4 linked regions of the Notamacropus eugenii genome follow. The protein of the gene in region 3 interacts with the protein of the main gene of each other region in a biochemical or structural test. Links are inferred from orthologs where the notes say so. Each region holds a gene or a part of one and is shown on either strand. Other genes may lie near its edges.

Region 1 (7,858 bases), on a different chromosome or scaffold from region 3:
TGTCAGAATATGATTGCATCAATAGAAATGACAAGAAGATGCATTGTCATCTGTTTTACCACTGTTCCCAAATGAACAGGAGGCATTTTTATATGATTTGAAGACAAAATTTCCAATACAAGATCTGTCATCTCTTCCCATTAGAATGTGAACTTCACAGATGAGGGACTATCTCCATTTTCTATTGGTATCTAGCACTTAGCATAGTGGTTTACACATGGTAGGTACTTACCATATGATTTGTCATTCATTCATTCATTAATCAATGGGTGAATTGTTGTCTAATCACTGGTTAGATGATATTAAAGAGATGGTTACTGGCTGATTGATATTGGGGATATATTGATGGGGACTTGTGAATGATAACATCAGAGAAGAGATCCCTCCCATACACACCTCATTATCCCCTCTTGAAAGAAGTTGGTTGTTGTCCTTCATGCTCAGAGAACCAAAATGACATCACCATGATAAAGTGAAGTTTCAGTATGTCCGACTGTGGCTGATCAGACCAACAGGAGCTCAGAATGCTCTACCACAAGTTGGGCACAGATAGTCTGTGTGAACATTTGGGGTGGTTACTCCAAATCTGCACTTCCTACATTTTCTTTGTGCTGTTTCAATTCTGCTTTGCTCATAGAGCACAGCACCTTTTCTGATGTAGGCATGCCATGCTGAGTGGTCCTGTGCCAGTGTTTCCCATGTCCCACAATCAAATCCAAAGTTCTTGAGATAGACCTTGAGTGTCCATATATTGCTTTTCCTGATCGCCATATGATTGCCTGCCCCATGCGAGTTCTTCTTGAAAGTAGTAATCAAGTTCTGGGGACCTGACCCCCATTAAGGGTGAGAATCAGGAGAGTAAGCCCAGAGCCTCTAAAACCTGAATTCCCAGAGAACTCAGTACGTCCTATTAACTATATCAAATAGTAAGGAAAGTTAAAAAGCAGAAACTGTAAATCCTGTGCCCAACTGCCATAGCCTCATGGATGAGTCAAGTCATTGCTGGTGCCATTTTGTCCCCAGTCCATCCCCTTTCCAAAAGGTGGTATGAGAAGGAAACAGAGGATGACTGGCCAGGAGGCAATGGGCCAAGATAATTGTACCCTACTGTCCCATATGCCTAGGGCCTGCCCACACTTTCCACACCCTTGGCTTCCTCTGCCAAGAATGAAATCAGAGAGAGAAAAGGAACCTTTTACCAAATGTGTGTGTGTGTGTGTGTGTGTGTGTGTGTGTGTGTGTGTGTGAGAGAGAGAGAGAGAGAGAGAGAGAGAGAGAGAGAGAGAAAGAAAGAAAGAGAGAGAGAGAGAGAGAGGACAGGGGACTAGGCAATTACCTAGTTGGAGATCCAGCAGACATGAGAAAATAAGCAAGATCATTAGAAGCAATTACTGTAGAATCAGCACCAGAATTACAATGTTGAGATTATCACCTGACTCTGGGGCTAAGATTTTTGTCTAGTCAGAGCCTGATTTTCTGAAAGTGTCAAAGGGACACACCCAGGATGGTGATCTCATTCCCCACTCTCCTACCTTGGGGGAGCATGTAGTGATTCCAAAGCTGGTCTCTGTTTCTTTAAAGTTTATTGCATGTTTCTGTTTATGCAGTCTTTAAGAGCCAGCATTAAAATAAAACCATGATTAAACTCTGCATTATTGATCTATATGTGCCTCAGTTGTTCAAAGGCAGCTGAGAGGGAGGCAAACACACACACACACACACACACACACACACACAGAAATAGATTTCTTTCTAATCAGAAGGGATTTTCTCAGCTAGTGTATCAAAGCTAATCAGAAAGGGATATTATTGTTATATGTTTTTCTAGCTTCCTCAATGCAGAGAACAAGTAAATTTATGCTCACTTAGACAAAGAATGAGCTCCATTCAGCTTGCAAAATTCAATTTGATCTTCCTAATGTACAGATCTGACTATGTCACTGCACTCCCCCATTCAATAAACTCCAGTCGCTCACTTACCTCAAGGATCAAATGAAAATCTCTGTTTTGTTTTTAAAGTCCTTCATGACCTGACTCCCTCATACCTCTCCAGTTTTCTTATACCTTTCTCACCTCCACATATTCTTCTATCCACTCACTGACCTCCTGTTTCTTGGACATTCTATCTACCAACATTGAACATTTTCAATGGCTGCCCCTTATATCCATCCTCATCTCCATATACATCCTGGTTTCCCTTGCCCTGAGTACATCAGCATTTCCAGAGGTAGAGGCTATGGGCAGGAATAACAGTAGCAGCAGATGCAACAGTTTCAGCAATTCTCACCCACCCAGAGACAGGAGTTCTCACTGACCAGAGACAAAAAGGGGCTTGGATAACTGATCAGAAAGAGATCTGAGGAAACACGGCTACTAAGCTCAGGAGTGGGTGCTGCTTGGCAACTCCATCACCTATTACCCAGTTCTGGGACACAGTTCCAGAGTGGAGAGGAATGTTTACGGTCACAGGGAGCAAGGGTCCTGGTTTCAGTTCCAGGGCGGAGAGAGATCAGGGCCCTAAGTTTTGGTAGAAGTTGTAGATTGAAAAAGAGGAATGTTACTGCTTGTGGTTGAATGGGAGCAGGGGCCCTTCTGAGTAAGGAGCAGAATGCAGATGACCCCATCTCTTCCCTGATTACACCACCTTGGAAGCACAGAAAAGTTACAGACTCCCAGACCTAGCTGTTAAAACAGCAAGGCAAAAAGTCCTGAAGGTCTAGACAGTGATATCCCTCCTCTCCCATGGGTGAACAGAGTCAACTCTAACATAAAGCTGAAAATCAAGAAATAGGCTTGAGAAATGAGCAGACAAATAACCACAAAAAGAACCTGACGATCAAAAGCTATTATGATGACAAGGGAAGTTCAAGACACAAACTTAGAAAAAGTCAATAACGTGAAAAACATCTACAAACAAAGCCTCAAAGAAAATGCAGATTGGATACAAACCAACAAGAATTCCTAGAAGCACTAAAGAATTTTTTTTTTAAAAAAAAAGAGAAAAAGTTTTATTTTTTAAATCAAAAAAGAAAAGTTGAGGGGAAATTGGGAAAAGAAATTAGGGCAATGCAAGAAAATTATGAAAAGAGAATTAATAGATTGTTTAAAAGAGGGACAAAAATACTAAAGAAAATAACTACTTAAAAAGAAAAATTGGTCAAATGAAAGAGAAGTACAAATTCTGGGCATTTTCAATTTTTGTACCCCATGCTTGGAATTCCCTCCATAATCATCTCTAGATTTTCCTGACTTCCTTGAAGTTCTAGCATCACTGAAGAAAATAATTCCTTGAAAATTGGAACAAGTTAAGTAGAAGCCAATGATTCCATGAGGCATTAAGAAATAATAAAATGAGGTCAAAAGAATGAAAAAAAAAGGAAAATATGAAATATCTCATTGGAAAACAACTGTCTTGGAAAATAGATTGAGGAAAGACAATTTAATAATCATTGGACTACCTAAAAGCAATAATTTAAAAAAGCCCAGCCCATATTTTGAGAAATTATAAAGAAAAATTGACCTAATATCGTAGAAGCAGGATGCAAAATAGAAACTGAAAAATCCATTGATCACCTCCTAAAATAGATCCCAAAATAAAAATTCTCAGGAATATTACAGCTAAATTCCAGAGGTCTCAAGTCAAGGAAAAATCCTCAAAGCATCCAGAAAGAAATTCAAATATCATATAATCCCCACAGTCAAGATTACATAACATTTAACAGCTACACAATAAAGGAGTGGAGGATTTGCAGTGCGGTATTCTGGACGACAAAGAAACTAGGATTACCACCATGAATAATTTACTTTAAGGCTATCCTGATGAAAAGACAAAAGCTAAATAGAAAATCTGACATTCAAATATAAGACTCAAGAGAAGCATAGAAAGGTAAACATGAGTGAGAAATAATAAGAAATTTAGTAAACTTTACCTCCCTATATGGACTATACATGAATATTAACTATTTAAAATCACTGTAGACAATCTTGTGGTGAGAAAAATTCCGAGAGACAAACGTTCTGGGTAATAAGAATTGATTTATTAAATAGGTCACAGCCAATAATTAAGTTAATGATCAATGATTGAGTAATCAAAGATGTGAAAGGGAAACTGAAACACCTTAATTCAGATGTGTTCCTTCTGACAGGGAATTTTCCTGACAAATGAAACTCAACCCTAATTGATGGACATTTAATAAGGAGGTGGGCTAGAACTCCTCAGCATCTCCCAATCACTTCATAGTAGAGGAGGAGCAGAAAGGTCAGCTGAGAATGTGACCTGATTGTGAGGTATGAGCCCCCTTTACCAATGTGGGTACCCTGATCAGTTTCTCTCTAATTTGGTTTCTCCTTCATGAGCTGGGTCACCCTACACTCCAATGAAGGGCTTAATGAACTAGAGAAATAATTACTATTATTTCCTCCTCTAACAAATTAAGGGTTTATATGAAGAATCTCTAAATTTCCTTTCAGCTTTAAAAATTCTCAGATTGATTGCTTGCAGTCTTGGGGAGGAGTGAAAGGGGAGAGACAGGAGGAAGGGAGAAAAAAATTGGAACTCAAAATCTTATAAAAGTAAATGTTGAAAACTATCTTTATATGTAATTGGACAAAAATACTATCAAGTGGGGGAAAATATTTTAAAATAAAGGTAAGAATTCTCTAATTTGTTTGTGATAGCTTCCCTGCCCTGCCCCAGTCAGCCAGTCACCAAGCATTTATTAAAGGACTACTGTGTGCTGGGCACTGTACTAAACTCTGGGGATACAAAGAAAGGCAAAAGACAGTGTCTACTCTTAAGGAATTCAGTCTCATGGGGAGACAACATGCAAATAACTATGTGCAAACAAGCTATGAACAAGACAGATTGAAAATAATCGACAAAGGGAAGGCACTAGAATTAAGGTAAATCAGTAAAGGCTTCTAAAAGAAAGTCAGATTTTAGCTGAGACTTGCAGGAAGCTGGGGAAACTGGGAGGGGAAGTCAGAAGGAAAAGTATTCTAGGCCTGGGAGATACAGTCAGTCAAAATACCCAAAGCTGAGAGACAGACGGGCTACTTTGAGTGAGAACAATGAGGTCAGCGTCACTGGTGGGCACAGGATGAGACAGGGAATAAGGTGTAAGGCTGTAAAATGGGGGGGGGGAGTAGTTATGAAGGGAGTTTTTTAATTTTTTTGTATTTGCTTATGGAAGTGTTTGGGAGCCTCCCCCATGTTTCCCATGGTGTTACATTAAATAATGGCTCACATTTAACATACACCACTTTAAGGAGATGGTGTGATGCAGTAAAAGGGGGGCTGGGTTTGGAGTCATAAAGGCTGGGTTTGTATCCCAAGCCTCTTCCCCATTACCTGTGAGACCTTGGATCAGTCCCTTAATTTCCTTAGCTGCATAATGAATTAGAGGAGGTGGCTGCTAAGGATCCTTTCAACTCAAAATCTGAGACCTTACAAGGTTTGCAAAGAGTGACATATTATGTCATTAGATGAAATAAGGTGCCATTTACTTAGTTTGCCTTATTTAACTCTCAGGATCCTGGTAGTTAGTTCAATAAATATTTATTGTGTCTTTCTATGTGAACAAAAACCAAAGACTGCACACTGAGCCACACATGGCCCACCCTACCCCCCTGGCAGACACTGAAAATCGAAAATGAAAAACTGACTCAGTTGTTCAAGGAAGCATTTTCCAGCATCCTCTGAGTCTCTTCCTTCCTTCACTTCCAAACCTAAGAAGGCTACAACGGGAAGGCTGCTAAGTAAGAAATTTTGTTGAGGGCAGCACTCCCCCCTCTGGAGAACGTGATCTAGTCTTCCAGAATCTCCTAGCTTCAAAGAGTAAAGTGAAGTGAGGTTTTCATTACACCTAGAGGCAGCTTGTGCATTTGATCTATGACCTCGGCCACAGTCCAAAGTGGCTGTTTTTGCATCTTGGGAAGCCGCAGAAAATTGAACCTAAATCCATCTATTTAAGATAAATTCAGTTGTTGGGGAGGAGGAAAGACCTTGGGACACAAGGTTCTGTGGATACACCACCCTATGTATATGTGGGAGAATCAGAAACCCAGGGTGGAGACCTCAGGAGGATCAGGGTAAGCTCCCGCTGAAGGAATCAGTATAATGCACCAGAAGGGAAGAGTCTCACCTCATGTATGTGGGTACTGGTGGGGAAAACACAATCTGGTGGCTTCCCATTTTAACTAATTAATCTTACTAACTAGATGCTAAGACTAGCTGGTTTCACCTCCTGAAGAACTTCAAGTGTAACTGGCACGCTCTAAATTTTGATGCCCTAGGGAAAAATCCCAATCTCCCCATTCTAGTTATGCTTTTATCTGTTCTATTTTCAGCAGATGTTAGATGTGCTGTGATATCATCAGTTTTGAAATCCCCTGGACACCCACAACTGCTGCTATCACTTAGCATGTATTTGAGTGATCTGAGACAATTTTAAAGTGTGCCTGCAAAATATAATTAAATGTTATCTACTCTTGATTTTTTTATGGATTCAGGGTCCAGATTCTCTGCAGCCAGCAAGCACTCCACTCTCTTAGCATCATTGTTCTCCATGCCTTCATGGTACCAAGTGAGCTGTGCCCTCAAAATTTTTCTGCATAGTATCCAACTTATTCTATAACTCAACTTATTCTACAATCCCATTATCTACTTATTCTGTATGGTATCCTCCATAGCCCAATGCTATGTGCAAATATCTGCTTAACAAATGTGCTTTCAGAAGGAGGAGGAAGGAGGAAGACAATGCTCAACTGGTGAGACTCTCTTCTGCCCTGGATAATGAAGACTGTAGATGGCAAGAGAGATCCCTCAAGTTTACTGAAGATCTCTAAGCAGGACAGGAGAGCACCAGACAGGTTTCTGATTTTGTCTGGGACAGAAGAAACATAAGCCCCAGAGGTTCAGGCATCAAGGAAAGAGTTTGTAGCCCTGCAAGGTGGGGAGTGGGGGGATGGTGTGCTGTTTTCAGCTAGTTTCCTGCTTCTTAGATGTGGCAATCATTGCGGGATTGGATTCTGGCATTACTTATGTTCTTATTGTCCTTAGAGTCTCTGCCACTTAACTGGTAAAGGGAAGAAATCTACTCAGTCACCATCAAGATTTACAGAGACCAAGGGAAAGAATGGTGAGGAAACACCCAAGGGGAAGTATTGGGAGGCAGAGCAAATTTTCATCTGTTATAGCTGTTCATCCTTCATTTGAGAAGACCACAAAGGTGATGTCTTGACTTGCGCATGAATTGGGTTTAACTGCTGTCTTGCCTTTTGTCTTGTCTGATTTCCATCTAGAGCAAAGCCTGAGACAAGAAAACCACTGACCACAGTTTGTCTTCTTCTAGTCCTTCCTGCTACAGACAGAGGTTATGCCCCAAAAGTGAACTTCTCCTTCCTGAAGTGACCACCTGACAGGTCAAAGTCAAAGTTAAACATGGTGAGAATTGAGCAAGTCAGCGAAGTCCTTGTCACCTCTGTCCAGTGGCTGCTGTTGCTGCAACAGAAGGAAAAGAGAGAATAATGGGGATCTTGTATATAGAAATGACTGTGGCAAAGTAGAACTACCACTAGTGAGACAGAAGGAAAGAGAAAGGGAGAAGAGAGAAACAGAGAGAGAGAAAGAGAGAAATTGAGAGAGTGGGGAGAGAAAGAAAAAAAGAAAAGAGGAAAGAGAGAAAGAAAGGGAGGGAGAGGGGAAAGGGAAAAAGCTGTAAAGGCAGAAAGAGCGAAAGAGAGATGGAAATAAGGGGAGATAGGGAGAGAGAAGAAAAAAGAGAGGAAGAGAGGTGGAGAGAAACAGAGAGAAAGAAAAAGAGAGGAAAGAGAAAAAGAAATGGAGGGACGGAGAAAG
Region 2 (7,166 bases), on a different chromosome or scaffold from region 3:
ACTACTACCACCCCTACTCCCCCCAAGCTGAAAGCATAATATTTCTAGTATTTCAGGAATACATGCCCATGACACCATATACAAAGGTGAAAAAGATTCTTACTATATCTACAGGCCAAACCCTGGGAATCTCTTCAGCCTGTTTTTATAAGTTGGAGGAGGGAGGAGGGAGCAGAGATTTCAAATACTTCTGTGTTTACAAATCAAATACTCTATGGAACATGCCCTTTAAAAAGTAATTTAATTCTACATATCTCTATCTACATCATATCATAACTTTGCTTAGAAATTATCAGTTCAATAATAGGCCAAATTAAATCAGTCTGTCTTCTTCTACACTCTTCTCCAATTTTCCATTTTCGCATCTATTTTTCAGGCTGTGTTTCCTGAAGTTAGAATGCTTTCCCCCTTGCCTCTTCCCAAGGTAAACTGCTATCCATAGTCTTAAGCCCAATTTAAATGCCAGCTACTCCATGAAAACTTCCTTGATCTTTAGGTAATTAGTAAGCACTTCTCCCCCTCTTCTCCACCCATTGCTTGTGCTAAAAAAGTAAATTATTTTAAAAAAAGATTAGATTCATTAAAAACAAAAACATCTCATACCATCATAACTGAAGCAATGGGTGGGTGTGGCAAAGAAACCCACAGTGACTTGAGCTAAGTTAAGATATCCCAAAATGGATTGGGGTTTTTCCTCACTAGATTTTCAAGGAAAGGCTACATCTAGTTGAAGAGAGGATTCTTGTGAGGAATGGGCTGGACTAGAATACAGCCCACTCCCACTCCCACCCCACAGTTCCTATCCAATCTGGAGACCTTTATGTGGCAAGATCAGTTGGTTGCATATACCCCTCTAGCTAAAACAAACGGCCAGAGTATGTTTTCATCCTTCTTTGTGTTCCCAGGGCACGGCCCTTAAAATTAATGCTCTCTGATTGAATGTGATAGTGGAGTTTGGATGGTAGAATCAAATAATATACTTGGCACAACTGCTGAGCTGTGTGCATCTAAGCACCAGTAGGGATCATAAGTTTAGAGCTGGAAGAGATTGACCTTAGAAGGTCCCCTCACCATACAGATGAAGAATTTGAGATGCAGTGATTTGCCCAAGGTTGCATAGAGCCAGGATTTGAAGTCACACTCTCTGGCTCCAAACCAAGTGAGCTGGCCACTAATTCCTGTTGTTCGGTGGTGTCTGACTCATTACCCCATTTGGAAGTTTCTTTTAAGCAAAGATATTTGAGTGATTCGCCATTTCCTTCTCCAGCTCATTTTGCAGATGAGGAAACTGAAGGAGAAACAGGATTAAGTTATTTGTCCAGGGCTACTAGGAAATGTTTGAAGTCAAATCTGAACTCTACGCCGGGTGCTCTATCCACTATGCCACCTACTTTCCGCTAAACAGCCTACTAAAGGCCAAGAACTTCTAACCTGCATTTCCGATCTGGGCGGCTAGGTGGCGCAGTGCCTAGAGTCAGGACGACCCGACTTCAAACGTGACGCTGGCTTACCGACTGTGTGACCCTCGGCAAATCACTAAACCTCCATCCCTCTCGTCTCAGCTTCCTCATCTGTAAAAGGGGGATAATAACAGCATCTCCGTTCCTGGGTTGTACCGAAGATAGAGGGGGATATCTGTAAAGCTTTTTGTAACGACTGAAGCAAGATATAAGACACATAGATATAGATATACACACATATGCTTACATATGCATATATACACTTATTTAGATTACCCATTAAGGAATTAGAAATCATGTAGAACAACTGACTTATATAAAGCTCAGTCGGAGTAAGTGGTTTGAAAAAACCCACCATTTAACCCCTACTTCCCATTAATCATATTTTTTCTCTTTACTGCTAGAAGACCTTGACCTTTCAGGCTCTTGGTAGTTTCCTTTAAAAAGACTCATCCCCAGCAGGAGGTCTTTTGTTTACGCCAGCTCCCAAACTCGAAACTAACCGCAGCCTAACTTTAACAAAGTAGCAAAGCGAGACACCCGGGCGCTACAACTCCGGTAACTTCACCTTCGGCAGGAGGGAGGGGGGGACAGCGGCGGGGGCTGGGGTCTGCTCCGTCAGTGGTTTTCGCCACAGGAGGAAGCGCTGGGGGCGTTTCAGGACACGTGCGCAGCCCCAACAAAACGCGACCCGTCTGGGTGTCGGGGGCCCAGGGAGGCACAGCGCCAGCCCGGCTCTGTTTACTTGGAGAACTGCGCTTGGCCTCAGCCAGCCACTTCCTACTTGCAAGGTCTAGTTAGGCTTGGCCCTAGATAGACGGTTGCCCTGGGGGGTCCAGAAGACACCGGCAACTCCATGCGGACCCAGAACCGAGCGCGCACCCGGGGCTGGGCTGAGTAGCTACCGCGAGCATCCTGGCTAGCCCCGGAGCACCGTCTAGCGGGACCGGACTGGTCACCGACCCGCTAACGTCCTCAGAGCGCTCAGATTTGACTGAGACGCAGCAAGTAGTCGATCTGGCTCGCCCTCTTTCTCCCAATCTTTGTGCCACCTTCAGACAAGGCACTTTCCCGCAGCCGAGGCCCGCCGGGTCCCGGTTTTACAATACCACACCTCCAGCAGAAGCTCCCCATCGCAGAACGCGGCTTTACTAAGTTACAGCTCTTAATGCTCTCCACTGACCTAGGACAGACCCCTTCTTTCTTCCACCTGGCTTCTTTCTGGCCCGGCGGGCACCGGCCACAGCGATCTCGCACCCCGGGCCGCTCCCCCTCACTTACACGTGGCCGCAGCGGGTCCGTACGGGCTGATGCAGCACTTCGAGGCAGACCGAACAATCAAAGGAGGTGACCGGCAGCTCCACTTCGCCCCTCCCGGGCAGGGCGGACGGGGTGGCCCTGGCAGCCGGGGCTGCTCGGCCGCTGTCACTGCTCAGCGCGGAACCCATCGCCTGCCTCCTCTCCAGCCCGGACAGCTGCTGCTAAGCTGGGTGCCTTCGCTTCAATTGTTTTGTTGTCCTGCGGTTAAGGAAGGAAGTCCCAGCCCAGCTGGGATCGCCGCCTCCCTGCCCCCACAGTCCTGCTCTCCGGAGCCAACCCCCGCCCCTTCTAACCTTCCAAGCCGAGACTTTCGCCAGTAACTCCGCCAGTCAGAAGTTATCCTCTTCCTCCAGCTACCCCCAACCATGGGGAGGAGACGGCGGCCGCAGCCGCGAGCACTGCAGTGTCGTCCGCTCCCAGGAGGCTTGAAACCTGAAACCCGAACCGCACAGAGGAATAGCAGCTGCCCACTGTTAGGTCTTCCTCTCCCAAACCAAGAGGAAGGAGGGATGTGAAGCTTTTTTTAACCTTCGGGTTTCTACTTGCCATTACTCTGTTCAATACATCAGGAACCCTATTCAAGCAAAGTTCAGGGTGTTTGCATACAGTCCTTAACCACTGTGGGGGGTTGAGGCAAACAATTTTTAGCAGTTAATTGTTCTAATACTCCTGAAACTGGAGTTCAAAACCATGACAGGTATTAGTAATTTAGAGTCTAGATGGGATCTATCAGGGTAGACTGCAACTAACTGAGATATTTATTATAAGGCCTAAAATATAAGAACCATATATAATACAGTTCTTAATAACGACATTAACTGCACAGTAAAGTGCTCCTTACTTGAGGGCAGGGACTGATGTGAAGGGGGTGAAGAGGGGCTGTATTTTCAGCACTTAGCACCTTCCCTTGTATGTTCTGTAAATTTTCTTGAATCAGATCTGCAGGAGTAATGGATAAATTTAAAGAGGACAATCATATTGATCCTAGTCTGTCTAAACAAGAACCCCGTCTATAAAACAGCCATCAAACGGACAACTATATATTTGGAAACCTCCAAATAAGGGGGAATCTACCCCTCCCAGGGCATTCTGTTTTACTTTTGAATCCAACTGTTAGGATATTTCCCCCTATATCGGGCCTAATTAAAATGAAATAATATGTATATTTAGCACAGTGTCTGGCACATAATAGGTATTAAATAAAAGCTAGCTACCTATTGACTGATTCTCTTCTCCAGAGAACACACACATACATACATGAGGCTGCTAAGTGTCACAGTGGAATAGGACTCTAAGCCTGGAGTCAGGAAGTTCTGAATTCAAACTCAGTCCCAGATACTAGCTGTGAGGCTGGAAAGTTATTTAACCTCTGTGCCTCAATTTCTTTAACTGTGAAGTAGGTTTAATGATAGTACCTACCTCCCAAGGTTGCTGTGAGGATCAAAATAGCATATTTGTAAAGCACTTAGCACAGTGCCTTACACATAGATACCATTTTATGAGTGATTTTTCTCCTCCTCTCTTTCCTCCTCCTTTTCATCATCAATATTATTCAATATTACTTGACTACATTGGTAAAAACGTGGCCGCAGTGGTCCGTATGGGCTAAGGCTTTGGAGTCCTTCTGACACATATTGTCTCAATGACCCTAACAAATCACAACTTCTCAGTGCTCTGCTGCTTCTGTTGCTGTTTCTCCATGAGGACCATAACATCAGGGAGATGATGCCAGGACATGCAAATGAATTGGATTTAAGTGAGGGAGGGCTGTGCAAAGTCACCAGTTTCTTACCTAGAGCTCCCTTGATCCATGAGCTTAGAGATCTACTTTCTTTTCTGTTCCCTCCCCACTAACACTTCCCTAGAATGTAGACTCCTTGAGAGTAAGGCTTGTTTTCTTCCTTCATAGAGTCTTGTTTGCTTGCTTGATCCTAGCCATCCTCCTCTGGATTGATCTCCAGTTTTCACTGCCCTTCCTAAAATGTGTCTCCAAGAACCAACTGAACACAATCCTGATGATGTGTGATCAGTGCAGAGTACAGTATAATACCACATCCCACATGCTGGAACATGTATCTTTTAAAGCAGCCAGATATCTCATTACAATTAGTTAATTAATAGTTTAAATTATAAACCTGCTTGAAGGCATTTGCTTTATAAGAAGTATCTCTCAAAAAGGTTCTGACCCTGGAAGGTAGTGTGGTATAGTCAGGGGTGCACTCACCAATGTTAAACAGCTGACTCTGGGGGGAAAAATATGAAAGGCACACTTTGAAGTGTAATCTCTATGGTTATAACTTTCTCCTTCGTTTTCTTAAGTCTAGTCTATCAATACAGTAATAAATCTAGCTTTGATTTGTAGCATTTGCCCATTTCCTATTTGAGTATGAACTAACCCATCCTGAAAATTTAACCTCCAACTCTCAAGAGCCTGTTCCAGCACACACCTGGGGTAGTAGATAGAGGTAGCTTCAGAGTCAGTTGGGAAAACAGGTTAAAGTCCTTCCTATGATACTTAATGCACACTAGATATATGATCTTCCTCAAGTCACTTTAACTTCTCAGTGTACCAACAACTCTCCAAACAATGAGTTGTAGGGTAGGTGGAGGCCTGCACTGGTGGAGGCCGCCAGGAATTCCCCATATGGAGGAAATCACAGACCTAGTTAAAAAAAAAAGAGCATATGGACTTTTTGATTGCCACATCACACTGTTGAAGTATATTGAGTTTGTAGTTAATCAAACCCCCCAGATGATACATATTTTGCATCTCTCCCCTTCTCTTTAACTACAAGACCACTACTCTAGTTCAAGACTTCATTGTGTTTTGTTTGTACTATTATGATGGCCTCCTAATTGATCTCCCTGCTTTTAGCCTCTCCTCTCTCCAATCTATCTTCCACACAATTGTCAAAATAATGTTCCTAAAGCATAGATCTGAAGATGTCACTTCTGGCCAAATATGTTCAATGGCTTTCCATCACCTATAGGACAAAATACAATTTCCTGGTCTGGCATTTTAGGTTCTCCACAGTCTGTATCAAACCTGTCTTTTCTGCCTTATTTCATATGATTCCCCTTCACAAATTCTGTCCCAGCCAAACTGGACTGTTTTTTCCTTTCATCTCCAGCATTTCTTCCTCTATCCAGCCCTGCCTCCCACCATACCTGGACCACATACCATTGTTACCTCTACCTCTTAGAATCCTTGTATTTCTTTAGGGTGTACCTCTGGTGCTTTCTCTTCTGTGAAGTTTTCTCTGAGTTTCCCAATTCCCTTTCAAAATTATTTTGCATTATACTTATTTATGTATGTAACACAAATCTCAAAGCCCATTTATATGGGGTTCATCTGTGGAGACTGAATACTCAATGCTTCATGCCCATCTGAGGGGTAGAGTTGGTGAAGACTTCTGGCTTCCATCTTTGGGAGAGAAGATCTGAATTCTCCCCTCCCTTCTCCCTCTCCCACCCATTGACAAGGCAAGAAGAACAAAGTCAGTGTGTGTATGCATGCGTGCGTGCGTGCTTGCGTGCGTGTGGTCATGGAGAACTTGTTTCTTCATCCTTTAGAGTTGAGGTTGCTCATTGTGTTGATCAAAGTTCCTAAGTCTTTCAAAGCTGATTATCTTTACAGTATTGTTATGATATACATTGTTCTCCTGGTTATGCTTCCAAGTGAAGTCTTTTTTGCATCATTCATACAAGTTTTCCTTCCCACCTTTCTTTTCTGCCTCTGGGCTCTTGATTTCAGATTGATTTGTGTCTCTATCCCATGTCTAAGAGGCATTGCTTACTAAAGGGCAAACTGTCAGCGCAGTAGGTAGTAGAATGCTAGTTTAAGATGTTACCCCAACTTGACAGGGTTTGTCTTTTAATAAAGAATTCTGACCAAAAGCAGTGAAGATACAAACTGTTAAATCTCTCAAATACTCCAATAGATCTGTATTCTCATCCATCTGCCTAAAAGGCAATCCATCTTTATCTATCCATGTTGTGAATGTCATTGAATCTAGTCATCCCTTGTTCTTGCCAAGTGACTAAAATGTTTTTTGTCTGCTTTTCTTTTTCTGCTCATGCATTTTTCTGATGGATGAATTTCACCAGTGGAACTTTATAGGGGAGATTCATTGTCCCAAAGTTCCCAAACCATCTACTCTCCCTATTCCTCCTGAGGTCAAACCGTATTTTTTACTTGGAAATGGATTAGCCTCTAAAAATAAAATAAAATAAGTCCTTGTAAGGCCATGAAAAACTTTTACAGCATATCCCCAAGCCAAATTTTCTTGTTTTTCTTTTTCCCAACCTTATCAGCTTACCTGTTGAAGTTTAAAGGGACTGGGACCCCGAAATAGCAACACTCAAGTCCTGCCCAAATGAATTTGA
Region 3 (6,884 bases):
GCTTTACCATATGTCTGGTTACTCAGTTCTCCACACCTAGGCATTGCCACCTGCCCTGCAGCTGATCCTTCCTTTATGTGTCATCTCTACCAATTAGACTGTAAACTCCTCAAGAGCAGGGATTATCTAACTTTTCTATTTGTATTCCCAGTGTTCAGCATAGTACTTGAGAATATGTTCTTAATAAATGTCTTTTCATTCATTCATAAGCATGTCATTACTCAGTGGGAGTTTGAGAAAGGGGAGATCACAGGACACTTAACTTAGATCATGGGCAGTGAGTTTGTGCTAAGGCTTTGCATGATCTAATAATTTTGAATATCTGCAGCTAATGCTATAATGGCTGCTAATCCACAGCAAATCAGGAAGTTTTGTTTTTTGCAATTAAACTCTCAGGAGCTGTACAATGCTCAGTGAATGTTCATGACAGACAGCTTGGGCCAGCTGTTCACTGCTAGTATTAGCCATCACAGTAGCTGACAATATTGAAAAAAATCTGAGAAACTAAATTCCCAACTGTGGCAGACAGGGAGAATTCAGCATTGACCTCCAGAGAAAGTACTCTTGGTTCTGCCAGTGCCAAGAAATAGCTATGTAGCTATAAAGTGTAGAATCAGTCTGTCTCCTGAAAGAAACTGAAGAACACCTCTCGACTTTCCAGGGAATTGTGGAGAATCATAGTCTTATACAGAAAAGAAGTACTTCAAGGAGGAAACAAAAAAGAATCTGGAGAGGTGGGGAAGCCTAACCTGTCAGGAAGTTGGAGGGTAGAAGTGACAAGAGGTGAAAGGAAAACACATTTAAAGCTCTATTCTCACCTCTCCATCTCTCAGAATCCTTGTCTCAAGACTCAGCTCAAGGGACACTGAGTGAGCTGGTCTTAATCCCACTGAATGGTGGCCCTGCCCCCACAGCTTGACTGAATCCCACCCCCACCCCCACCCCCAGTGCTAGCTTGGCAGAACTGGAGGTCAGGTACCTGTGGAGAGGAAACTCTGCTAAGATTCTGGGCACAAAATTCCTTCCCCGCACCCAGACCAGTACACCCTTGATTGTGCCACCTTGGAGGAACTGATATCTTACAGGTCCCCAGAGTATACCCTACTCTTGACAAAGGACCCAAAAGTCAAGTAACTGGTTGGGAAAATGCCCAAAAAAGGGGAAAAAAATAAGACTATAGAAGGTTACTTTCTTGGTGAATATCTCCTCCCATCCTTTTGGATGAGGAAGAACAATGCTCACCATCAGGGAAAGACATAAAAGTCAAGGCTTCTGTATCCCAAAAATCCAAAATAAATATTCAATAGTCTCAGGCCACGGAAGAGCTCAAAAACGATTTTGAAAATCAAGTAAGAGAGGTGGAGGAAAAACTGGGAAGAGATATGAGAGAGATGGAAAAAAAGCATGAAAAGCAGGTCAACACCTTGCTAAAGGAGACCCAAAAAGATGCTGAAGAAAATAACACCTTTAAAAATAGGCTCACTCAATTGGCAAAAGAGGTTCAAAAGCCAATAAGGACAAGAATGCTTTAAAAAGCAGAATTAGCCAAATGGAAAAGGAGGTTCAAAAGCTCACTGAAGAAAACAGTTCTTTCAAAATTAGAATGGAACAGATAGAAGCTAATGACTTTATGAGAAACCGAGAAATCACAAAACAAAACCAAAAGAATGAAACAATGGAAGATAATGTGAAATATCTCATTGGAAAAACAACTGACCTGGAAAATAGATTCAGGAGAGACAGTTTAAAAATTATGGGACTGCCTGAAAGCCATGATCAAAAAAAGAGCCTAGACATCATCTTTCATGAAATTATCAAGGAAAACTGCCCCGATATTCTAGAACCAGGGGGCAAAATAAATATTGAAAAAATACATCGATCACCTCCTGAAAGAGATTGAAAAAGAGAAACTCCTAGGAACATTGTGGCCAAATTCCAGAGTTCCCAGGTCAAGGAGAAAATATTGGAAGCAGCTAGAAAGAAACAATTCAAGTACTGTGGAAATACAATCAGAATAACACAAGATCTAGCAGCTTCTACATTAAGGGATTGAAGGGCATGGAATATGATATTACAGAAGTCAGAGGGACTAGGACTAAAACCAAGAATCACCTACCCAGCAAAACTGATTATAATACTTCAGGGGAAAAAATGGTCTTTCAATGAAATAGAGGACTTTCAAGCCTTCTTGATGAAAAGACCAGAGCTGAAAAGAAAATTTGACCTTCAAACACAAGAATCAAGAGAAGCATGAAAAGGTAAACAGCAAAGAGAAGTCATAAGGGACTTACTAAAGTTGAACTATTTACATTCCTACGTGGAAAGACATGTAACTCTTGAAACTTTTTTCAATATCTGGGTAGTTGATGGGATTACACACACACACACACACACACACACACACACACACACACACAGAGAGAGAGAGACAGACAGAGAGCACAGGGTAAATTGAATAGGATGGGATCATATCTTTAAAAAATGAAATTAAGGGGTGAGAAAAATATATTGGGAGGAGAAAGGGAGAAATGGAATGGGGCAAATTATCTCTCATAAAAGAGGCAAGTAAAAGACTTTTCAGTGGAGGGAAAAAGAGGGGAGGTGAAAGAAAAAACATGAAGCTTACTCTCATCACATTTGACTAAAGGAAGGAATAAAATGCACACTCATTTTGGTATGAAAACCTATCTTACAATACAGGAAAGTGGGGGAGAAGGGGATAAGCAGGGTGGGGTGGATGATGGAAGGGAAGGCAGTGAGAGGAGAAAGCAATTTGAAGTCAACACTCTTGGGGAGGGACAGGATCAAAAAAGAGAATAGAAGCAATGGGGGGGCAGGATAGGATGGAGGGAAATATGGTTACACAAGACTATTATGGAAGTCATTTGCAAAACTACCCAGATATGGCCTATATTGAATTGCCTGCCTTCCCCAAGGGAATGAGTGGGGAGGGAGGGATGGGGAAAAGTTGGAATTCAAAGTTTTAGAAACAACTGTTGAGTATTGTTCTTGCAACTAGGAAATAGAAATACAGGTAATGGGGTACAGAAAATTATCTTGCCCTACAGGACAAAAGAGAAGATGGGGATAAGGGAAGGGAGGGATGTTAGAAGAGAGGGCAGATTGGTGATAGGGGCAATTAGAATGCTCAGCGTTTTGTGGTGGGAAGAAGGGAGAAATAGGGAGAAAATTTGGAACCCAAAGTTTTGTGGAAATGAATACTGAAAAGTTAGAGAAATTAAAATTAAAAAAAAAAAAGACTCAGCTCAAGTGCTTCCTCTTTCATGAAATCTTCCCTGATCCTTCTCTTTGAGTGCAAGGACTGAGGACTGACCCTCTTCTGAGTATAAAAGATCTCATAACAATTATCTTGTCATGGGCCTTTTTGGCAGCCTGATGAACCCTTCTCAGAGAAACGTCTTCAAATGTTAAAAAAATAAAAATAAAAAATAAAATAGATAAGGCACAAAGGAAATCAATTATATTGAAATAGGATTATCAAAACATGGAAGAAAAAACAGCTGAGTTGGCAGACTCCAGGTTCAGAACCGTTGATATTAAGTACTTACTACCTGCCAGGTATTGTACACTGATGATTTTTTTTTTATTAAAGGCTTAAACAGGCTACTCCTAACCCCCTTATTTTACAGAGGGGGGGGCAGTTTTTGTCTTATTAAGCCTATAATAGGTGATTAATAAATTCTTGTCAGATTTGAAATGCCTTCTAAGGATTTTTACACCCCATGCTTGTTGAGTGAGACAAATCTAAGTTTCTTTTCTTCAAGGTTAGTTGCAGTTTCGATTTTCTGTTTCCCTAACGAGCTTCCCTCCCAGCTCACAGCAACGTCTGCTATCAGCTGATTTACTGGAACCATCCTCTTGCTCTGTTCTGGGCGGTTCGACCCTTCCGATCCCCGTCCCTCCCCTGACAGCTGGGTGAACTCCCTGTTTCACTCTTTGCCGTCCCCCAGATTCGTGGGACGCCTCTCCCTTTGCCCGTAGAGCTGCCTCGGATGCTAAAAAGGAGACAATAACATGACCGAAGAAGAGAAGAGAAACCTGGAGTTTTTCGCAAACCACATAAAGAACATATTAGACCCCACCCATGTTTTGGACTACATGACTGACTGGTTCTCGCAAGGTGAGATGCTGCCCCTTCCCGCAGGTTGGCTGTGCCCTCCATCTGCAGTGAATCAACCTTTGCCCAGCTCGGACCTTTAGGTTGTTTTGATACTAACCCGATCCTTTAAGCCTTAACAGCCCGTTCTGCCACGCAGATCTGCAAGCCTGCAGCATTTAGGGTTAGGGTTAGGGGCAGGTGGTTTCCGGGGACATCTGGAGGTGAGGTTTATTCCCTGATTTTAGTTTGTTGAAGTTACTACTTCGAGTTACACTACTTGTGTTGAAGGGCCGGGGTAAAAGGAGGGAGGTCGAGGGAATAGCGGTAGAGACCATCTGGTCCAGACTTTCACTTTTAAAGTTGTGAAAAGTGTCCAGAGAAATAAAAAGAAGCTCCTCAGATTGCACAGCTTGCTTGTGGCCAATCTAAATTATAAATTCGTTAGTGTGTTTCCAAATTTACTGTAAATTTTATAGGCAACTTTTCCCCCTTGATGCATTTTTAATAACGGTTTAATAATAATGATAGTGATTGATTGTCACAGTTCCTTTCATTTCATTTCTCTGATGGCATGGTCCTCGGCAACAAAGGACAAACACAATCCTGTGAGTGGGTATAGCTGGCTGAATGGGAACCCAGTTAGCTGGGTAACTTGAGCTCCTCCTCTCCTGTCTGCCTCCTCCTCCCCTTCCTTCTCCTCTCCAAAGGTAAATTTGGATGGTCAAAACATTCCCAGTTGACTTGGGTTTTACTGGCTAGTTTCGTTCCCCTTCCCTTCCCTCCCCTTCCTTTCGCTATCCTGTCTGAAACCTTAAACCTACTGCACTCTGAAGCTGCCAATGGGCCCCTGCCTAAGGGCTCTTCTGGACCTTCTTAGCTTTACGGTGATTATCAATAGTAACTGTTGCTGTTTCCCTCCCAGCCTGAAGTCTTTCTTTTTCTTGGCCTCATTAAAGGGCCATGCCCTGGCTTCTTCTTAAACAGGCCTATGCAATGAATGGGCATTTCCTCACCCTAAGTGATTACTTGCAAAGACCTTGGCCTAAGGGGCCCAAGGTCTCCCAGTGCATCCTGGGTCAGCTGCTCATCCTGATGAATATCTGGTCACTGGATTCAGGTGGCTCTGGAGGAGAAGTGAGGCTGGTGATCTTCACAGCCCTCCCTCACTGAAAACAAAGTCAAGTGCAAGTCATATCATCATTTCTCTGATGTCATGGTCTTTTCCCCCAACATAGGACAAACAAATCCTTTGAGGGAAGTAATGCAAATTCCACCTAAGGAGAAACTGAGGTTCAGAATTTAAAGTGACTTATTCACAATCATACAGCTTATAAAGCTGGGACTGGGCCCAGCAGTCAACCAGTCAATGAATATTTATTAAACACCTCTTAAGAACCAGGCACTATGCTAAGTGGTTGGAGGTGGATGGGAGGGCTGGGGAGAAGTGGGCAAGAATTCAAAGAAAGCTAAAAAGAGAGCCCCTGTCCTCAAGAAGATTACAATCTAATAGGGGAGACAACATGTGAATAACTACAGAGGACGAAGTTATATACAGGATAAATAGAAAATAGTCAACCCAGGGTCCTTCTGACTTTAAATCCAGTGTTCTCATTCTGCTATATCATACTGCATCTCATGTCTAATAGAAATTCTTTTCTGTCTTTTGATCCACATTTCCTGGTTGATATACCACCTGTTTGCCTTATGTGTGTTCATACTTCATTGCCAAAGATCATGCCATCAGAGAAATGATGACATGAGTTGCACTTGACTTTGCTTTGAGTGAGGGAGGGCTGTGCAAGTCACCAGCCTCACTTCTCCAGAGCCATCTGAATCCAGTGACCAGATATTCATCAGGATGATTGGAGATGAGCCAGGATGAGACAACTGGGGTTAAGTGACTTGCCCAAGGTCACACAGTAAGTGTCAAGTGTCTGAGGTGAGATTTGAACTTAGGTCCTCCTGACTCCTGCCCTGGTGCTCTATCCACTGAACCACCTAGCTGCCCCACCTGCCTTATAGTTGAATATTCATTGACAATAGCTGCGTAGGCTAGGAGGCCAAGGCAGTATTTGACTCAGTAAGTGGAGGGAATTCAAACACAAAGGTAATCAGGGACCATTCAAGGTGCCTGTGTTAAGTAGTTGAGTAGCTGGGCTAGAGGGCAGGAAAAAGGAAGACATATGATTGTAGGGAGAAGGCAGCTGTCATATCATGGTAATTCTTAAAAGCAAAATGACATGAAGAGAACATTTTATTTGAAGTCAGAGTTTGAATTCTGATTCACCATCTCTTTCACTACAGCAGCTCTTCCAAACCTTTTTTAGCACTCATCCCACCTCCCGTGATTGTAGCCTTGGATAGTGCCAATTGCTCTGTTATCCGAGCCACTCTCTTCTTTAGGTTTCTTCTACACTGCCCTCATCTGGTTCTCCTACTTTTCAGACCACTGCTTTCTAGACTGTTTTGTTACAACATTCTCTAAGTCATACTTACTGTGTTCTGTTCTGTGTACTCTTCTCTCTCTTAACTGTCTGTCTGGGTGATCTCATTAATTCTAATGGGTTATTCTCAGACCTATTTATCCAGCCCTAATTTTTTCCTCACCTCCAATCTCATCACCAAATGCTCATTGTACTTACTGAACCAGATAACCTGTAGATATCTCAAACTCAAAATATCCAAAATATCTTTCTGCCTCTCTTCCCAAGCCCTGTGATAGTCTAAGGCACTAAAATACTCCTAGTAGCCCAAGCTTACAACC
Region 4 (7,536 bases), on a different chromosome or scaffold from region 3:
TGGAACTCAAAAATTTTAACTGCAACTACTTTTTCGTAGTAGCAAAGGACTGGAAATTGAGGAGTGGCCCATCAACTGAGAAATGGCTGAACAAGTTGTGGTAAATGGAATATTGCTGCGTTATAAAAAAATGATGAGCAGGCTGATTTCAGAAAAACCTGTTAAGACTTGTATGAACTGATGCAGAGTGAACTGAGCAGAACCAGGAGAACACGTACACAGTGATAGCAATACTGTACAATGATCAGCTGTCATGATCAATGACTTGGCTCTTTTCAGCAATACAATGATGCAGGACAATTCCAAAGGACTCATGATAAAAAATGTTATTCACCTGCAGAGAAAACTGATTGATTCCAAATGCAGATGCAAGTATACTATTTTTCACTTTCTATATTGTTTTTATGGTTTTTTTTCCTTTGGGTCTGTGTCTTCTTTCACAATATGATTAACATGGTAATATGTTTTGCAGCGCTGAACATGTATAACCTATACCAAATTGCTTAACAACTCAGGGAAGGGGGAGGTGAGGAAGGGATAGAAAAAATTAGAAACTCAAATTTTTAAGAATTGAGTGTTAAAAACTGTCTTTACAGGGAGGAAAATAAAATATTATTTTAAAAAAATGCTGCCACCAAAAACCTCCTCAAAACCCCAAGAAGATTCAGATTAAGGAAAAAGTAATGTGTATGGTGGAACCAATTTTCATCATTAAAAAGGAAAAGGTATCTTTTTGCATGACTTCACAAGTATAATGGGTTTTGTTGCTTGCTTTCTCAATGGGTTTCAGATGGGCTGGGGGAAGGAGGAAAAGATTTTAGAATTTGACATTTTAAAAAATGAATGTTAAAAAACAAATGATAAAAATATTTTTGAAAAGAAAAAAGGGAGAGTACATGATGACTAGAGTTCATAAGGTTCGAAGACTTTACAAAAATGCTCTGGGCTTGAAAGACCTCATCATGGTTCAATTCAAGAATCTTTAGATTCCTACTACTACATCCCAGGAGGTTCAGGCACAAAGAAAAACAACCAGAAGCGTTCCTGATGTCAAGGAGCATACGCTTTTTACTACAAGATACAACAGATAATGTCCAAAAAAACAAAACAAAACACCACAGAGAGAAGTTCTGAGGCATTTTTGGCCTGGTAGAGAGAGACAAAGACAAAGAGACAGAGACAGTGTGAGACAGACACACAGAGAGACAGACAGACACATAGATTTACAGTAAGCCTGGTTGATTCTCTATTTCTGATCATAGGAGTTAGAACTGGAAGGAGCCTTAGGGATCACCTAAGCTAATCCTCTGGTTTTACCAGAAGATTGAAAGCAATAGGAGAAAGAACCCTGGCTTCCAAGTAAGAGGACCAGAGTTCAATTCCCACTTCAAACATTTGCTACCTGTGTCACCCTGGTCAAGTCATTTGACCTCAGTCCCTCATCTGTAAAATAATGAGGGTGGATTAAATGCCTTCTGAAATCCCAGCTCTCTAAAATCTATTACCCAATAAAGACTGAAGGAAACAAAGTTTCTCATCTCAGCTTCACGGTTTTAGGGCAGTCACTTCAATCCGGGCCACTGGGAAACTAAAGGAGACCCTCCTCTCACTCCCCATCACATATTTCAAAATAACCTTGGGACCTTCGGTTCCCCAGATTTAGCAATACTGACCATAGGGAGGGAGGGACCCCGGATCCACCTAGGACCTCTCTGAAAAAATTCTGGGGAAGGAATTTCCCGCTAGCAAAGCAAAATAGCATTTTCCCAGCAATCTGTAAATTACCCAGGGCACGGAGGGGAATAGGAGACTTGCCCAGGGTGACACGGCCACTATAGAGGAGGCAGGGCTTGAACCCCCTCAAGGAAGCCCTCTCTCGTGGACTGTGGCCTTTTCTCCTAACAAGTCTGGGTACCGGGCAGGAATGACTTCGCCTCCTCCTACAGACCAAGAAACTGACACACTCGCACAGAAAAGGGACCCAAGCGCCCCTGCCGCCCAGGTAGGCGGAGAATAGGTGCCCCTAGATTCTCGAACCTCTCTCTTGAACCCCCACATCCACAAGCCCCCTACCTGTTTCTTGGCTGAACTACAGGTTCTTCCCTCGGAAGGCTCGAAGGAAAGAGAAGGAAAGGGAGGAAAGAGAAACTAATCCCGGCCCCGGGAAATTGAAACTTAGCTGGGCCGCAGCTACCGGTATCCCGCAGGGGCCTGAGGCTAACCCCGAACCGCTGCCAGGCGTCCCCCCCGCCGGACCTCTCCCCGCTCCCCCTCTGCCCACCTTCAGCTGGGTCCTGGCCACGTCCAGGGCCACCGGGGAGCAGGTCTTGTGCCCCACCAGGCAGACGCTGCAGATGCAGACGCCGTGCTGCGAGCAGAAGAATTCCCGGAGGCGGCTGTGCTCGGGGCACCTGCGACTGGCCAGGTCTGGGACGGGCGGCTGCAGGTCGTGGCTCAGGAACACCGGGTTGTCCAGGTGCGGCCGCAGGTGCTCCTGGCAGAAGGATGCCATGCAGGTGAAGCACGTCTGGGCGGCGGGAGCCCGCAAGCAGTAGTCGCAGGCCACGCTGCCGGCGGTGTCCTCCTTCGCCTGCGCCCACTTCGCGGACGGCAGGTCCGAGGACTCGCCATCTCGGGACGCACCGAGGGGCTGCCCCGAATCCCGGAGGTTCTGGGCTTGCTGCACCTGCTTCACCACCGCGCACAGCGCCGTGTTCTTCTTCAGCTGGGGCTTCTCCCGGAAGCACTGGCGGCACTGGGGGCAGTAGAAGCTGGAGCTCTGGCCGCCCCACGCCTCGTCCAGGCAGGGCGAGCAGAAGTTGTGGCCGCACGGGATAGTAACGGGCTCCTGGAAGAGCTCCAGGCAGATGGAACAGGTCAGCTCGTCGGCCAGGGGCTCCAGCTCGGCCATCGCGCTCCGCTCCCGACGCCTTCGAGGAAGAAAAGAAACTCTCCGGGCTCGGGGGAGAAAGAAATGAAACTAGCCGGAGGGGAGGGGACCCCGAGAGTTACGGGAAATCACGTGGGGAGTGGGGAGGAGTTGCAGGGCCGGGCTGGCCCTGGGGGTTGTGGAAGGAAAATATCAACATTCCGCCTTTGAGACACGCAAGCCAGAAAGAGTTGTGTTTCATTGACGTGCTCTAGCGAATCCAACAGACGTTTATTAAACACCCACTATGTGTCAGACGATGTCCCTAAACGCTAGGGATACACAGAAAGGGAAAAATAAAAATTCAAAACAACCCACAATCTCTGTTCTTGAAGAGAGTATATTCTAATGCCGCCTATACATGCGTATGGCCCAAAGGGCTCAAGGTCCCCCAGCGCATCCTGGGTCTTCGCCAGGCATCCTGAGGAATATCTGGGCACTGGATTCAGATGGCTCTGGAGGAGAAGTGAGGCTGGTGACCTGCACAGCCCTCCCTCACTCAAAACGAAGTCATGTGCAAGTCATGTCATCATGTCTCTGATGCCATGGCCCTCTTTGGCAAGGAAGGACGACCACAATATATGCGTGTGTATGTAGATAAATACACTATCTCTCTATATCCATATAGGTAATCGCGAGGAGAAAGCACTAACCTTAAGGGGGAGTGGTAAAGGCTTCTTGCAGAAAGTAGGGCTTGAATTTAAGGAAGGCAAGAGGAGGGAAAACATTCCAGGCAAGGAGGCTGTCACTAATGAAAATGCGAACTTCAGAGATGGAGCATCCCCTGCAAGCAACATCGAGGAAGCCCTTGTCACTAGATCGAATTGTATGCACAGGGGAGTGAATGTCAGGAGACTAGAGAAACGGGAGGGAGCCAAGTTATGAAGGACTTTAAGGCATTTCCACCTTGGAGAGAGGGAGAGTTGTCCATATTGTCATATACTCTGATACATCTCTGTACCACAAGATGACATGGGGTAGAATTTATAGAAATCTTGAACAAGCAGAAGATCACAATGCATTAAAGCACAGTTTAGGATTACCTTTCCAGAAGTCACTACTCACTTCCTTTTTGGACCCTTCCTTTCAAGGATTGAAAAAGATTACTTCCTACTTCCCCCTCCTCTCCCTCCCAGCCTCCATCTATACCTTAATCATGAATGGAAAAGAGGACACTGCCCTTAGGTGCAGTGCCATTCACTGCAGGTCAGGGGGATGCTAGGTTCTTATTTCAACCTAAATTAAATTTGGCTCTCATTCTTAATCCAGTCCTTTAACCTTTCTTCTACCCATTCTCTTAAAGGGAAAGTCTGAAAGACTTTTAGGTTGGAGAAATATTATTCCTTAATATTTCTCTTGAGCTAAAGAGGGAGGCTTTTACTATGCTTTCATAGGTTGGAGGAATGTAGGGAACCCTAGAGGTCCACAACGGTTTCAGGAGCACATGATGGCCTGATAAGCCCACTTGATTGTGCAAATGGAGCAAAGGTTGTTGGTTCGGCCCTCCGGAACCCTACACAATAGTCCCAGTTCTCTCAGTCTTGAGTAAACATTCTGGTACTTATTAAGACTTTCTAAGGCAGTCGTGAGACTGGTATCTGTACCTTAAGGAGGTAAATGTATCACTAGCTTGCCACAAGTATGGAACTTAAAAGGCTGAACAGTATATAAGGCTTGTACTTGCTAATAATAAACGGAGCTTGCTACATCTCTGTCTCCCGCCTCATCACTGCGTGCCTGAGACTCGAGATGTCCCACTGGTCAGGGGTCTCTTCACTGAGCCAGCCGTTACCTCAACAGAGGAAGAATGATTAGGACAACTCCTCAGCACAAAATAACAACCCTAATGGCAGAGATCCATCTGCCCAATGGGAGGCTAAGGAAAGGAAGAGATGGCTTCACTCAGTTGTTCTGTGAATTGCTACAAAGTGGAGTCTGGAGACCCCAACCAATCCCTGACAGTCTTTTCCACCCTGGGCCAGCAAGGACTTTCCCAGCCTTGTACTCTTTTGCCATCCCAAACCTCCTCCCTAGTAACTCAGGTTATGCCTGTGATTTAGAACTGGAGGTGCACTTAGAATAAACCACTTCATCCAGCTTCCTCATTGTACCCAGAGGAAACTTGGTACCAGAGAGGTGAAGCCATTCACTCAATGGTGTACAGGTTGTATGTGGCAAAGTCAGGATTAAAATTTCTCTGACTCCAGACCCAAAACTCTTCACTGTGTAGTTCAGACTTCTCCCTTACTTCTAATACTGCTGGTTTTGTTTCTAGGCAGCCCATTTAAACTGGGAAAGGGGTATCTTTGCTTCAGTCCATTTTTCATCCTTTTCTCATGTCTTTTCCTGGGCATATGTATGCAGAAATCTATCCAAGAAAGGACTTCTTCCCTGCCTTGATGGAATAGGAGGCAGCTAGCTATGTTACACTGGAGAGAACACTAGCTTGGGCATCAGAGGGCTGTGATTTCAGATCCCCTCCAACCCTTTCTGACCCTGTTGAGTTGCTAATCTGAGCCTCAGTTCCCTAAATATCTCTAAAATAATCTTTAAAAAATGTCTAAATTTCTAAAAGAAAGGATTGGGGTAGGTCCATCTGGATTCATGATCCTATTATCTCTATGTAAGGGAATGCTGACATAGAGAATCACTTGGTGAGGAAACTCCCTCTGCATTGTAAGGAAGCCCATTCTCTGCTATTTATAGTGTCAAATCAAGAAGTATATATTAAACACCTGCTATACCCTGGGGATACAGAGAAACAGAGAAAGAAGAGTCACCTAGAACACACAGAGATACAATGACTTGCCCAGGGTCACGTGGCTAGCATATTTCAGAGCTGGGGCTTAAACACAGATTTTCCTTAGAGTGGAAGCTGGCTCTCTAGCCACAAAGCCACACTGCCTCTATGATATATACATACCATAAAAAATAAATAAGGGAATGGAAGTGGGAGGGAAGAAATGAGAAAATAATGTGGGATTGAGTCAAAACTTGAAGTCCTAGTTAGAATCTCCTAATGCTTCTTGCTTCTGCACACCCCCATTGGTCAACCAAACTTTGAGGGAGATCTCTTTTGAGGTGGGATGATGAAACAATGACCAAAATCATTGCTCCATTTGTTTTTTCGAAAAGTAATCAATTTTAAACTCCATTAAAAGGAAATCCCTTTGCAAAATTGTGTGACTATATGGGGTCATCCCTAAGTATAGCTCTAAGTATGGGTCACTCCTTTAGGATGTAGGAAGTTGCTCAGTTAGCCTGGTAGGATTACAGAGCATGAGTCATTGCATGAAGGTAATTGATACTCATTGCAAAATCTAGGGATGGACTGAAAAGATTGGCCCTGACCTTTGAAACTATTTGTAGAGTAAGCTAGCCAGGTATGTCAGTCTAGAAGAAAGACAACTATGGAGGAAGAGCTCAGCTTCAGAGGTGGCTTTTTACTTTTCCCCTTGCTCCTATTATAAAATGGCAGTGGATGGGTAAGAAAGGTATATGCTTCCCTATGGTAATAGCAACTTGAAACGGAAACATATACCAGTGTCCAGGGCAGAAGAGAGTCCAGCAAAGTCTAGCTAAATGTGTCAGGGACAAGAATCAAGAGTTAGCTGCTAAGAGAGTGGATTGCATTCAAGAGATGGCAGTCCCCAGACATGACATTCTTACTGGTCTTATGGCTTGGGCTCTATTTTGTTCTAGAAAGGCATCATAGTACCATAGACCAGGATATTAGTCTAGCCCAAAGCTGGAGTCAGTAGTCAATCACTGAATAAGATTCTAGCAGAGCCTGAGAGACCAAGGTTAATGAAAGGAATTGGAGGACATCAACCATCAGTGGTGCCCTCAGCCCCACTACAATCCCCACTTTGAATATATCTTGATGACCCATATTCCTCTTGTGTGTACTTCATTTACCAACTCTGTAGGTATTTCTTCTTCCCTCTGACACCTTGAATATTTGTAGGAAATATTCTCCAGGTTTATGAAATGCTGTAACTGATATCATTTCAGTAAATGCCTTTGTCTTGAGCAAATTATGTACTATGACTGACTAGACTCAAGTCAACAAACATATATTAAGAAGGATCCAAATCTAAGGATACCTTAAAGGACCAAGCTGAGTCACTTGATACAGCACATTTTTTCCCATAGGGCAAGAAATAAAAATAAAAATAGAAATGGGGTGAAAATTTCAAAGCAAAATTATAATAAAATTTTCATGTCAATTGATGCATCTGGACCTTCTACTGGTAAGCACTTTACTATGTGCCAGGCACTGGGCTAATCAGTGGAAATATAAAAGTTGAAAACAGTCCATGCTCAAGGAGCTTACAATCTATTGCAGAAGACAGCATGCAAACTGCTAAGCATGTATAAAATATATACAGTGTAAATGGGAGGCAGTCTTAGAGGAACTAGCATTAAAAGGGTCTGAGAAAGTTTTCTTGCAGGAGGCGGGATCTTAGCAGAGACTAGAAGAAGCAAAGGCAAATGTATGCTGGGAACTTGTGAATTATATGGTGTTAGGAGTGTGGACCTACAAAGTCCTTGAGGACTCAACCTGCAAGTTTAAATGTGGATGGCAGGTGTCCCAGAGAGGTACC

The links.
Region 1: of the proteins of RIGI (region 3) and RNF135, one has a biochemical effect on the other in vitro, tested with the Homo sapiens proteins (6 studies listed by BioGRID, with this or other methods). The link is inferred for Notamacropus eugenii from reciprocal best matches to the Homo sapiens genes RIGI and RNF135.
Region 2: of the proteins of RIGI (region 3) and RNF125, one has a biochemical effect on the other in vitro, tested with the Homo sapiens proteins (3 studies listed by BioGRID and IntAct, with this or other methods). The link is inferred for Notamacropus eugenii from reciprocal best matches to the Homo sapiens genes RIGI and RNF125.
Region 4: of the proteins of RIGI (region 3) and E3 ubiquitin/ISG15 ligase TRIM25-like, one has a biochemical effect on the other in vitro, tested with the Homo sapiens proteins (5 studies listed by BioGRID, with this or other methods). The link is inferred for Notamacropus eugenii from reciprocal best matches to the Homo sapiens genes RIGI and TRIM25.

Annotation. Positions count from the first base shown.
Region 1 is NC_092873.1:311,647,904-311,655,761, forward strand, and holds the start of RNF135 (E3 ubiquitin-protein ligase RNF135), read right to left. Parts: upstream 3,014-7,858; 5' UTR 397-3,013; intron 1-396. Other genes in the region: ADAP2 (arf-GAP with dual PH domain-containing protein 2), read right to left, coding at 7,476-7,501.
Region 2 is NC_092875.1:258,756,270-258,763,435, reverse strand, and holds the start of RNF125 (E3 ubiquitin-protein ligase RNF125), read right to left. Parts: upstream 3,013-7,166; 5' UTR 2,909-3,012; coding exon 2,742-2,908; intron 1-2,741. UniProt on the Homo sapiens protein: E3 ubiquitin-protein ligase that mediates ubiquitination and subsequent proteasomal degradation of target proteins, such as RIGI, MAVS/IPS1, IFIH1/MDA5, JAK1 and p53/TP53.
Region 3 is NC_092872.1:122,835,161-122,842,044, reverse strand, and holds the start of RIGI (antiviral innate immune response receptor RIG-I), read left to right. Parts: upstream 1-3,864; 5' UTR 3,865-4,035; coding exon 4,036-4,141; intron 4,142-6,884.
Region 4 is NC_092873.1:368,989,284-368,996,819, forward strand, and holds the start of E3 ubiquitin/ISG15 ligase TRIM25-like, read right to left. Parts: upstream 3,008-7,536; 5' UTR 2,912-3,007; coding exon 2,282-2,911; intron 1-2,281.